Linked DNA regions of Caenorhabditis elegans. The protein of the gene in region 2 purifies or fractionates together with the protein of the main gene of each other region. This does not show direct contact. Each region holds a gene or a part of one and is shown on either strand. Other genes may lie near its edges.

Evidence for each region. Proteins that work in one complex are often made in the same cells at the same time.
Region 1: the proteins of C02B10.4 (region 2) and dnc-6 fractionate together in Caenorhabditis elegans (co-fractionation; one large-scale study listed by BioGRID). This does not show direct contact.

Annotation. Positions count from the first base shown.
Region 1 is NC_003279.8:3,164,355-3,171,001, forward strand, and holds the start of dnc-6 (Dynactin subunit 6), read left to right. Parts: upstream 1-3,838; 5' UTR 3,839-3,857; coding exon 3,858-3,871; intron 3,872-4,740; coding exon 4,741-4,914; intron 4,915-5,651; coding exon 5,652-5,898; intron 5,899-6,647. Other genes in the region: Y54E10A.6 (B3/B4 tRNA-binding domain-containing protein), read left to right, coding at 237-1,063, 1,755-1,976, 2,867-3,079. UniProt on the Caenorhabditis elegans protein: Part of the dynactin complex that activates the molecular motor dynein for ultra-processive transport along microtubules.
Region 2 is NC_003282.8:5,087,727-5,094,373, forward strand, and holds C02B10.4 (RRM domain-containing protein), read left to right. Parts: upstream 1-3,859; 5' UTR 3,860-3,872; coding exon 3,873-3,919; intron 3,920-3,986; coding exon 3,987-4,257; intron 4,258-4,314; coding exon 4,315-4,536; intron 4,537-4,752; coding exon 4,753-4,848; 3' UTR 4,849-5,081; downstream 5,082-6,647. Other genes in the region: ivd-1 (Isovaleryl-CoA dehydrogenase, mitochondrial), read right to left, coding at 1-162, 216-527, 974-1,108; snpn-1 (SNAPIN protein homolog), read right to left, coding at 2,852-2,968, 3,014-3,112, 3,155-3,307; EGF-like domain-containing protein C02B10.3, read right to left, coding at 5,781-5,859, 6,321-6,635.

The sequences.
Region 1 (6,647 bases), on a different chromosome or scaffold from region 2:
CTTTGAATTCATGCAAATTGCCGATTTGCCGGAAATTTTCAATTTTAATTTCGCGCAAGTTGCCGGTTTGCCGGAAAATTTTTTAAAATTCCGGCAAATTGCCGGTTTGCCGGAAGTTCTTAAAGGGATTTTTTAAAAGATAGTGTGCCTACAATTTAATTTTAGGCAAATTAGGCAAACTGCCAACTTGCCGGTTGCCGATTTGCCAAAACAAATATAACTATGAAAATTTCCAGATTGCTTGCCAAAACTAAAATTCATGGATCTTTCACACAATCATCTGGATGCTCTTCCTGCTTCAATTTCAAAATGTGAAAATCTTGAATCTCTAATTCTCAACAACAACCGCCTCAATGAATCGAGTTTCCCGGATATATCAAATCTCTCGAATCTTCATATTTTCGACGCCGCTCACAACACAATTTCCAAGATTCCTGCGTCTCTCACTTCTCACAATCTTTCTGCAAAACTCCATACGATAATACTCTCTCATAATTCAATTGAAGTGATACCGGATAGTTTGAGCAATTTGAAGCAATTGAAAGAGCTTAAAATTGATGAGAATAAGCTGAAAGATGTTCCGAGTGTGATTGCACACCTTCCCAAGTTGAAGGTTTTGGATATTTCGAAGAATTGCTTCTCGGAGAGCAGATTTCAGAAGCTTGCCAATGATAAGCGTGGGAAGCTTAATGCAGTGATTGCTCTGGCTCAAAAAATTGGAAAACCAATTGGAAATTCTGAAGAGCAGAAGAAAGCTCCTGAATCCGGTTCCCCCGATTTTCCAGTTCCAGACGCCCCACTCACAGTCCGTACTGGAATTGAGAATTTGACAGTTCGTAGGCATCCCAGTGTCTCTGAAATCCGACCATATCTTGTTTGCTGTGTCATCAATAATGTTGATCTCAATGGAGGAGACTCGTTCAAGAAATTCATTGCTCTTCAAACGAAAATGCACGCGTCGGCTCTCTGTGAGAATCGAACTCTTTCGGCTATTGGAACGCATCGGCTCGATTCTTTTCAGCTTCCACTTTGTTATATGGCTCTTCCGAAGGATGAACTATATGTACGATTTAAAAAAGTGAAAATTGAAAAAAAAAACATAAAATTTGAGAGAAATTTCCGATTTTTTTTCAAAGAAAATTGAAAATTTTCAGATTTTTTTCGAAAAATGTTCGAATAAAAAATGTTTGAAATTCGAAAATTTTATACTTTTTTTTCCAGAGAAAACCCACAAATGTTATCTGAAAAAATTGAAAATTTCCGATTTTTTCAGGAAAAATTGAGAAAAAAATGTTTTACATTTTTTAAAATGTTTAAAACTAAAATTTTCGATTTTTTTTCAGAGAAAAAACACTTTTTAAATTGTTTCTGAAAAAATCGAAAATTTCCGTTTTTCCCTGTAAAAATTGAAAAATGTTCGATTTTTTGAAGAGAAATTTAAATTTTCTTTTCTTTTTTTTAAGAGAAAACCGAGAAAATAATACTTTTTTTTGATTTTTTAAACAGCAAAAACAAAAATGTTTCGATTTTCTCAAAAAATTAGGAAAAATGACAAAAGTAAAACTATTTTTAGAAAAATCTTTTTTTAAGCTGAAATTTTGAAAATCAAAAAAAAAACCTGTTAAAACCGGCAATTTTAGCAAAAATTTTTAAAGAAAATTAAAAAAATTTGTTTCAAAAAATTAGCAAAAATGAGCAAAAACTAATTTTTCCCCACTGCTTCCTCATTTTCCAAAAAAAAAAACCATTTCCAGATCCGTGCATTAAACAAAAAATCGAGTGTAAGTGCATCTGAACTGCTGGACAGTCTTCTTCGTGACGCTGAGCTGGCCAGAAAACGGAGCAAGAGAAGTACAGTTGATCCATTGCACAAGTACTTGCATATAGTAAAGGATGAGAATATTCTTGCGTGTCTTGTAGACTCTCAACAAATTGTTATTAGCCTGCCACCGATAACCAACTCGGATTGCACAAAGGTTCATTATTATGGAAAATTTTGAACAGTTTTAGTAAAAATGTTTTTGAAAAATCTTATTTTTTCGAAAATTTGCTTCAAAAATTAAGAAGAAAGAGCTTCATTTTACACATAATTTGTCAATTTTTAGAAAATTTTCCCCGTTGAGGTCAGTTAAAGATTTTTAGCAAACTTAGAAAAATTATGAAACAACGGAAAAAATGAAAAAAAAAAAAAAAAAAACACAGAAAATTTTAACTAATGCGTATTGGGCAATATATTTACCGCGCAAAATATCTCGTAGCGAAAACTACAGTAGTTCTTTAAATGACTACTGTAGGTCGATTTACGGGCTTCGCTTTTTGAAATGAGTTTCAGTTCGAATTGTGGCCTTTTCTAATTTTCGTCCAATTTTTCTTCTTTTTTTTTATATTTTCAACAATTAATTACAAAAAAACGATTCAAAATCGCTTTTCCACTGCTTTTCTTGTTGATTTTTCAATAAAGTTTCAATTTCACTGGTCTTTTTCTCTTTTTTCGAATTGGATAGCATTTTCATTCGAAAAAAAGAAAAACACAAGAAAAACTCAAACTTTATTGAAAAATTAACAAGAAAAACAGTGTAAAGCGATTTTGACTCTTTTTTTGTAATTTATTGATGAAAATTTAAAAAAAAAGAAGAAAAATTGGACGAAAATTAAAACCGCTGCCACAATTCGAACAGAAACTCATTTCAAAAAGCGAAGCCCGTAAATCGACCTACAGTAGTCAATTAAAGAATTACTGTAGTTTTCGCAACGAGATATTTTGCGCGTCAAATATGTTGTGCAATACGCATTTTCTCAGAATTTTGTGATATAGTAATAAAAATTAAAAATTTCTAGTATTTAAAATTGGAAACAAAAATTTCAGCTAACTGTGGATACCACGAGCATCTGGGTAGAAGTATCTTCGAAACAATCACTGGAAGCATGTAAAAAGACAATGGATGAACTGATTCTCTCAAGTCGTCAGATATTCCCAACTCTTTCAATTGATCAAGTCAGAGTTGTCGACAGTGATACACTTGTTTCAATTTATCCCGACAAAAATGACCTTCCAGGAGTCTCCCGGATATCTAATTAAAAATTTGACAAAAAAATAGTCTTAAATTCAGAAAATCCCCGAAAGAAAAATGAAAAATCAGAGTTTTTGACAAAAATGAGCGCTGCGACCAATCAGCGATTTGCTCCGCCCACTTTTTGACCAATCAGGATTTTCGGCGCAATTCTACTGGTTGTTCCAACATTTTTCATTGAAAATTAGTGTCAAAATATGGAAATTTACTATCAAAATGTATAAATCGATCTTTGAATTTTGCAAAAATTTTTGTCGCACAGAAATTGAGGCGGAGCTTGCTTTCGCAACACTGCCGCACGGGCAACAATTTTTGCAAAATTCAAAGATCGATTTATACATTTTGATAGTAAATTTCCATATCTTGACACTAATTTTCAATGAAAAATGTTGGAACAACCAGTAGAATTGCGCCGAAAATCCTGATTGGTTGAAAAGTGGGCGGAGCGAATCGCTGATTGGTCACAGTGCTCAATTTTGCCGAAAAGTCGGTTTTTTTTGGAATTTTTGAGTTTTTTTTTTTTGGATTTTTTTCCTTCCTTTTCACCTAATTATTTTGTTTTTGTTGTTACCATGTTTCTTGTTGTTTCTCCCCGATTTCCCCCGCTGACACTAGAATAAAAGTATCGTTTTTGTCGTGGGAAATGACTATTTCCTGTCTCTCGCTCTCTTTTTTGTCTCCAATTGGTTTTTTTTTGAATATAAAACCATGGAATATTTGTGGCGAGAAATTGTGCAATCTGTCGAGAGAAGTAATGCAATTTTCAGAAAGAAACGGATTTTAGAAATGACTGAAACTAGGTGAGTTGGAAAAAAATTAATTTTTTAAATTTAAAAGTGGAAAATTTTAGATTTTTCTTCAAAACAATTGTTTTTTTTTTGAAAAGTTCCAGAATTTTCTGGAAAACAAATTCTGAAATTTTTTAAAGAATTTCAGGTAAAAATCGAAATTTTTCGATTTTTTTAGAGTGTCTAGTTTTAAAATTGAAATTTCAAATTTTTTTAGAGTGTCTAGTTTTAAAATTGAAATTTCAAATTTTTTTATCTCAAAAAAAAAAATTGGATTTTTTTTAAATTGCAACAGAAATTTCCAGAATTTTCCAGTAAAAAACTTTAGAAAATCTGGAATTCCAAGAAAAGGAACACAGTTTTTTTATTAAAAATTTTTTTTGAAATTCTGGAATTTTTGGAACTTTTAACAAAAAATTAGAAAATCGAATTATTTTTTTTTCATTTTTTTTTAAATTAAAACCAAAAAAGAAAAAAAAAGCTTTTTTTTTCTCGTTAGAAAAGTTTCAAAAAACGTAATTTCTGAAAATTTGTACAATTTTTTTGGAAAATTCGGATTTTTTTGATGTAAAAAAAAATTTCCAGAATTTGTTGAAAAAAAAAGAAAAAAGAGATGTTTTTAGGCATTTCAGAATAAAAAAATCCAAAATTTTCCACTTTCTTGTCAGCAAATCGAAAAAAAATCCAAATTTTTTTTTAGAAAATCGAATTTTGAAATTAAAATTAGAATTTTTTAAAATTAAAAATAATAAAAAATCCAAATTTTCGATTTTTTTTAGAAAATCGAATTTTAAAATTAAAATTTCAATTTTTTAAAAATTAAATCGTTAAAAATCGAAAGAAAAAAAATTAAAAATCGAAAAAAATTGCAATTTTTTCAGCACAGTATCCATCGCCAGTAGTGCAATCGTCTGCGTCGAAGCGGATATAAAAGGAGAAGTTATAATTAAAGAAGGCTGCGTCGTCCATCCATTTGTAGTGTTCGACGCCACAAAAGGCCCAATTTATGTTGGAGAAAATAATATTTTTGAAGAATACGCAGTTATTCGGAATAAGTATGTTCAAAACATATGATACAGGAATCGCCAAATTGCCGGTTTACCGATTTGCCGGAAAAAAACGGCAGTTTGCCGGAATTTTAAATTTAATTTTTCTGGCAATCCGCCAGTTTGCCGGGATTGAACACTTCCTGCAAATTCGATAAATCGGCAATCTGCTGGAATGGAAAATTTCCGGCAAATCAGCAAGTTGCCGGAATTTAAAATTTAATTTTTCCGGCAAACCTACTTGTTGCCGGAATTTAAAATTTCCGGCATGCGGAAAATCGGCAATATGCCGAAAATAACAATTTCCGGCAAACTGGCAATTTGGCGGAATTCAAAATGTAATTTTTCCGGCAAATCGGCAGTTTGCCGGAATTATAAATTTAATTTTTTCCGGCAAACCACCAATTTGCCGGGATTGAAAATTTCCGGCAAAGCTGATATCCGGCATGCGGAAAATCGGCATATTGCCGGAATTGAAATTTCCGGAAAACCGGCAATTTGGCAGAATTTAAAATTTAATTTTTCCGGCAAACCGGCAATTTGCCGAAAATAAAAATTTCCGGCAAATCGGCAAATTGCCGGAATTGAAAATTTACGGCGAACCGACATATTGCCGGAATCGAAATTTGAAATTTCCGGCAAATCGGTAAACCGGCAAGGTTTTTTCCGGCAAATTCGGCAAGAATCTCCATTTCAACAGAAAAATTTTTAGGCAATGTTTGAGAAAAAAAACGATTTTTTTCCAGCAGCGACGGTCAACCAATGATAATCGGTGACTGGAACATCTTTCAAGTCCACTCGAAATCCAGTGCAAAATACGTTGGAAGCCGGAATGTGATTGGTGTGCATGCGGTGCTCGAAGACGGTTGCTCCGTTTCAGATGACTGTAGCGTTGGAGCCAAGTGTACAGTGTTTTCCCATCAAAATCTGGAACCTTCTGTGTCTGTTTATGCAGCCACGAATTTGAGTAGAACGACGAAAACGCCGAATATGGTACGGGAAATGCTGCTTTTTTTTCGCAAAAAGCGGCGCCGCACAGAAATAGAGGCGGAGCTTAATTTTGCAACCATGCGGCACAGTTTTTCTTTCTTTTTTTCACCCATTTCCCACAGTTTTCATGTTTAATTGTTTTTTATATGAAAAAAATTGAATAAAACAGGTAAAATTGGAAATTTTTTGAAATGAAGTGAAAAACAGTGCTGCATGGTTGCGAATTTTCGCTCCGCCTCTTTTTCTGTGCGGCGCCGCTGCTTTTTGTGCAAAATTCACGGATCAAGTGTCAGGGGTGGGCGGTAAATGATTTTTCAGGAAAATCGGCAAACCGGTAATTTGCCGGAAGTGAAATTGTCTGGCAAGTCGGCAAACCGGCAAATAGCCGGAATTCGCCGGAAATAAATTTTTCCGACAAACCGACAAATCGCCGGAAATTAAGTTTTCCGGAAAACCAACAAATTGGTGGAAATGAAATTTTCCGGCAAACCGCTAATTTGCCGAATTTGAAAATTTCCGGCAAATCGGCAAATCGCCGGAAATTAAATTTTCCGGCAAATAGCCGGAATTTTCCGGAAATAAATTTTTCCGACAAATCGGCAATTCGCCGGAAATTAAGTTTTTCGGCAAACCGGCAAATTGCCGGAAATTAAATTTTCCGGCAAACCGGCAAATTGGCGGAAATGAAATTTTCCAGCAAATCAGAAAACCGGCAATTTGTTACCTATTCTAAATGAAAGTAAACCTAAAAA
Region 2 (6,647 bases):
GACAAGAACATCAGCGTCTGGTCCATTGGTAATCCAGAATTTGGTTCCATTCAATACATACTTGTCTCCCTTCTTCTCAGCACGCAGCTTCATGCTAACGACGTCAGATCCAGCTTGAGCCTCCGACATGGCAAGAGCTCCCATGTGCTCTCCGGAAATGAGCTGAAACGTTTTCTCTATAATCTAATTAGTTTACTAATTTTTTCGGTAATTACCTTTGGGAGATACTTCTTTCTCTGCTCTTCAGATCCATTTCTCACAATTTGGTTGATACAAAGATTTGAATGAGCTCCGTAGGAAAGAGCAATTCCACCAGCAGCACGCGATAACTCTTCCATTGCAATTACATGAGAGAAATAATTCATTCCAGATCCACCATACTCAGCTGGCGCAGTGATTCCAAGTAGTCCCTGGTCTCCAAGCTTCTTCCAGAATGGTCTCAGCTGATCCCATCCGTTGTCCTTGTCAATCTTGTCAGCATACGGGGCGAGCTCCTTGTCGGCGAATTGACGGATGGATTGACGTAGCTGAAAATTAGGGATCAGAAATTGAAAACAAAATAATCCATCAGATTATATATTTAATTGGCAATTTTCAAAATGTCCTAATGCACCATGTTGTTCCAACATTCAAAAATAGTGAAAAAAAACACAAAAACTCACTCGATTTATCTGAAAATAACGTTATTTTTGGCTGAAACATTGGGTAAAGTGCTCAAAAATTGCCGATTGTCGGAAAACAAAGCTCGATAATTCGATAATAAGCGAATTTCAGGCTATTTTTGACCACACTTTCTCAATGTTCCAGGTGAAAAGTATAATATTTTCAGATTAATCAAGTTATTGGCTATTTATATTCTTGCATTAATTTTTAATGAAAAATGTTGGAGCACAATAGGAAAATTGTGGAATTACCGCTCGCCCTGGTTAATTTCAAGTAAAAATTATAATTTAAATATTTTATAAAAACTCACAGCAATCTCCTCATCGTTAAGCCCAAACATAGAATCATCAATAGGATATGCTGAAAATTGCCGAACTGCTTGGGACTGAAGAGCCCGTCCTCCAGCGGCACATTTTGCAAATAGCTTCGATGCCAAAGCGGACATTTTCACCAAGAAGTCGGGAGACGGAAGGCTCTGAAGATTTGAAGAAAATGAAAAGATCGAAAAGAGATGAAAATTGAAGAGAAAACGGTTATCTCTAGGCGAAGATCTTCTACTCGTTTAGTAAAAGGAAAACTCCCATTTTTGCCCTTTTCTCATTAAGTTTTTATTTTGTAGAGAAGAAAGCAGGCTAAAGAGAGGAGAGACAAATGAAGTAAAATAGAGTTAGAAATAGTAAAAAAAGAGGAAAAAGAACAGAAGGAGGAGCCACGAGGATGACTGTTTGTCAATGTTGGAGCAGGAGCAACACGTGGAGCTTGAGCAGCGAAAGAGTAAGTAATAAACTGAGAGAAGTGAACGAAAAAGTCACCAACACACACGAGGTGTCTCGTTTCTTGACGTGAAGGGTGATCAGTGATCTAATGAAGGTTCGATCACTGATAGATTTTCAAGCACACTGTATTTAAGTCACAAATTTCGATCAATTGGGGCGTTTAAATGATTTCTGGGCTCCATTGATATTCAAATCGTGAGAAACTGTGAGATTTGGTGATTTTTTATTTATTTTCGCCTTAGTTTGAGACTTGTTAATTTAATTTGATTTTTTGCTGTTAGTTTGCATGATGGATGATCATTGAAATTCCCGAAATCGTTAGAATCCTCAATTTACAGAACCTTTTAAAAATAAACTAATAAACTTTAGTCCGGAGCTGTCTAGACATTTTTTTGATATGGTAATTTTAACAATAGCTGATCGGTGACCTGATAATACAAAACGCAATATAACACATATTTATATTTCAATACTTTTCATATGAAAACCAAAATTCGTATTGTTGTCTGCTCTTGGGTGCTGGTGTAAAGCGATGACGCACAATGATTGCAAAAAATATTGTTTGAAAAATGAAGGAAGTTGGCTTCAGAGAGAATAATTGAAGAGAAAAGGGCGAAAATCGAAAAGAATTGTTGGAAAAGCTGGATTTTATTCAAAATGAGTTATTAAACTACGGTAGACGAAAACACTAAATTTTACGATAAATTGCGGATTTTGCAACTCAAGAGACCCGAAGAACTCGGGGGATGTCCAATTGGGGGGATTACCAACTCGGGGGATTGGCCCCGCCCACAGAACCGTGGCTTGCAATACGCCCATTTCTGCAACTGCCGCACGGTTTCGAAACTGTATTTTTCTCAATAGAGCGAGAATTAACAAGAAAAATACAGTTTCAAAACCGTGCGGCAGTTGCAGAAATGGGCGTATTGCAAGCCACGGTTCTGTGGGCGGGGCCAATCCCCCGAGTTGGTAATCCCCCCAATTGGACATCCCCCGAGTTCTTCGGGTCTCCATTTCAATTTTCGGCAAAAATTTTCCGCAACAGTTTCGAGTTTTCCGACAAAGTTTATATTGTGATTATCAAAGTTTCTTATCACAAAAGTGCAAAACTTTCGATTGATAAGATTATATGAAAATAGACAAACAGCTGCCGAAAAGAAATAGGAAAAGTTTGCCGCATCAGACAGGGTTTAGTGTTCAAATTGGAGAAAGTTAATCAACACACAAAAAACTCGTTTATGTTATTGTTTTAAGTAGAAAAATGGCAAAAACAATGACTAGAAGCGGATGGTGAGTGGAATATTCATACATTCAAATGGGGAAAATGGTGTGATTTTGGAGAAAAATTGTTAGGTGATAAGTGAATTTTCAGAGACGCGAGAGGGGCGAAGGTCATATTCTTCTTGATATTTCTAGTTTTCTGGCTGAACTGGCGGCTCTTGTTCTTTAATTGAGTTCTTCTTTTTATATGTTTCCCGAGCAATCTGCCGCTGGAGTTTTGTGAGACGTTCGAGGAGATCGTCGAGTTTCTGGAATTACTAAAAATAAAATAACTTTAAAAGCAATATGTCTACCTGATGTGTATTATTTACTCGAATTGTAGAATCATTTAGTTTTCCGACGTAGGGGAGCAAGTCCACAGGCTGCTTGTATTCGCTCAGGTCTCGAAGGTACTGAAAATTAAATTAAATTAATACCAATAAAGCTTCGAAAACCTCTGCCATTGTTTCACAATCTGAATTTAGTTTCTTTTGAGACAACTGAGTCGCTCGAATCTGTTGCTCAAGCTTTGTAATCGAAGTGGAAAGAGTTCCAAGGAGAAGATCGCCGGAATTAATGGACACTTCGCCTCCAGCAGTTGACGACATCATTTTAGCTGTAAGAAAGAAGAAATATAATGAAACTCGAAAAATATAGAAAAGTCAGGGAAAACAGAGCAAGCGGCAAATAAAGTAGCAACGAGCGGGCGGAAAGCGGATTAAAATGGAAATGTTCACTCCGACGTGACAATGAAGGTAGAAAAGAACGATAGATGACGCATTTGAATATTTTCTGCAATATATACCATTAAAAAATAATGAAGGATTTCGCTAAAATAGACATTTGCAATCGGAAGTTTATTGAGAAACAATTCGGGAAAAAATTCGATAATTAACGGAAAGGGTACGGTGTGCAATTGTGTGCAAACACCTCGACGGAAAAATGCACCAAGCGTTTTATTCGAATTTTGGACCATTTAGATTTTCCGATTTCTGCTCAATAATGAGCTCATTCTTCGATAGAACGTTTCCAGTTTACTCGTTTTCTTTCTATTTCAGTTAAATATTTCTTCGTTTTGTTTTTATCATGCGTTTCACACGTTTTCTCTTCGATATTATATGGAAAAATGACTAATTACCACAAACTTGTGTTTTTTACAGAAAACGATCAAATATGTACGCCGACGAAGTTGATAAGGATAGACGCACTTTCAAAAAGAAGTAAGTTTTTGTTTTAATTAATTATTTCTTCCTTGTCTCAAAATCGGCAGCCAATTACGTTTTTCAGCTTTTCTTCAGCTCGAGGATCAGGAATCGATGGTAAATGGAAACGCGACATGTTCCAGACAGCAAATCGATCTCCAAAGCAAAATTTCACGACCAAGAGGCGAGCACAGACAAACTTTGTCACTAAAGCCGGTGCCGCGGCGGCAGGACTTGCCACTAGGAACATTTCAACAGCATCAATCCGTGGAAGAACTGCGCCGGCTGTTGTCAGAGAAATTCATACTGGACCATCGACTCTTATCATAAAGAACTTGGCAACCACTGTCACACAAGTGCGTATACTTTTTAATTAAACTCTCGAACCATGTTCCACCAAATACAAATTTCAGGAAGATCTTGAAGAGCTCTTCGAACAATACGAGCCAGAGCTCGTCCAGCTTCACTACGGCCCAACAGGAGAGAGTAATGGATGCGCTGATCTTATTGTCCCTCACGCACAAGTCGCTATTATTCAAAAAGCACTGGAAGGTGTTCTGTTGGACGGAGAGCCGATTGAAGTTCTCGAAGCAAACCCACCGAAGCAGGTTTCTGTGTTCGATCGGATCAAGAAGGTAGGATTAATTAATCATATTCAACCATTTTCTAGTCCCTTTATGCTACTTTCGAAGCCTAGTTGCAATCGAAACCCGAGGAACTGATAAGTATAAAAATAGCTCTGATATCAATCAAAATTATCGCTTTAAAAAAATATACGTTCTTCTGACAAGCGATTAATATCCGTCAGGCATCCAGTATTCTTTCTTTTTACAAAATTAAAATATTTTCAGGTTTCACGAGGAAACGATTTCAAAGCAAAGAACATGCGCGTCGTTGTCAAGTCAAAAGGAGGATTCCAGAAGAGAGGAGCGCGTGGAGATTTCTAGAGAAAATCTAGAGGCCATGATCTATCTGTAATCGTGTTTATAACCAATCCAAAATTCCATTCTCGTCTCCACTTTTTATTTATTTTTATTCCATTTCTCAAGTTTTGTTGTTTTACTGCTCATCTAGAGCATTCCATTTGACTCTTCCTTTCTCGTTTTTTCTCAACTTTGTACTGAATCATTTTCTGTCTCCGTTCGTCATAACTTTCCAGATAATAAACCAGATTTTACACAGAAACTTGATTTATTAAATATTAATAATGATTGTGACATTGTGGAAAAAAAGAAAGAAAGCAGCGATTGGGGTTGAATTGAGAGAAAGTCTAGAAAAAAGGAAGATTTTTGTGTTTTTATGTGAGAATCAAAGTAATGCATTACACGACTAGAGGCAGTGCTTAAATATATTGAAAATAATATATTTTTAAACTAAATTTTAGATTTTTTAATTGATTTTTTTGGGAAAAATTGACATAAAAAGAGAGAAAACACCGTTTTGTGGGGGAGAATAATTCGGAGAAAAAGCGAGTTTTGGTGAGAGGGAATTTGAATTTTCGAGAGGAAAATTTAATGAAAATCTGGAAATAATCAATAAACTGAGAATAATAAAGCATTTTAAAAAATGTTTATGCAGAAAAGTTTGCAAGGGCGCCGCACGCTTTTTTCTTTATTTTTTGAAAATCATTTTCAGCTAAAACCATAGATTCGAAAATTGATTGCCAAAGTTTTGAGAAGGATTTCAAGAAAAATAATAGAAAATTCACAAAAAAAAAAGTTAGAAAAAGTGTGCGGCACGTTTGCGAAAATTTTGGCAAAAGGGCGGGGCCTGATCCTCGAGACAACTCTCCAACAGTTTTATTATTCTCAGTGTAGTTTATAGCAGATTACAAAAAATTTCCCTCGAACTGGTCCCTCCTCGTCAACGAAAAATGTATCTAATAGTTGAACTTGTTGACGCAGAGCAGGATGATGGCGAACAGAGCAGCCGGTATGAAGGAGGAACACGTGGAACACCTGCAAAATGGAAAAGAATGAATAAGGGTGTAATTAGGTGGCGGAGCCATGAGAACACACAATGAGCAAGGTACTTCCGGAAGTGAGAGAGTGAAGTGAGGAGGTGGCTAATTACTTATCGACAGATTGTTTCTCTCTATTCAAGGGTCTCGAACGGAAATTATTTTTCCCTTTGAGAGTGTGGGAAAATTTATTTTGAGTTATGTAACTTACGGAAAAATATAAAGAACAAATTAATGTGATCAAAAACTCCAATAAACCAATAAAACTCCTTTGTAAAATTTTAAAAAAAATCAATAAATGGGCGTGGCCTAATTTTTGGCACTCCTTGGATAATTTTAGTTAATTTTAAATTCAATGTTGACGGGTATTGTTTCAGAGAAAACTTATCAGTTTTTGATTTTTTGAAATATTATTGGATACGCTCTTCTTGGTTACTAAAATGTTGAAATGCAACTTACGTGACATGTCCCTTCTGACATCTTTTATCACAAAGATCTCCATAATATCCATCCGGACATTTACACTTTCCATCGATGAGTTGTCCATTGTTCAAGCATGACTTGATGACGTCACAGCTGGCTCCAGAATAATGATTTCCACAGATGCAGTGATCTCCGTTGTTACGATAACGGTGTTGTTGAGTTGAAATAGTCTTTCTCCAGCATGCAAGACGTTCACAAAAACGTCCATCCCATGGTGGTGGGCAGATACATTCGATTTCTTTCTTTCCGACGGCGATTGTTCCGTTGTGTTGACACATGTGAGGGGTACATCTGAAAATATTG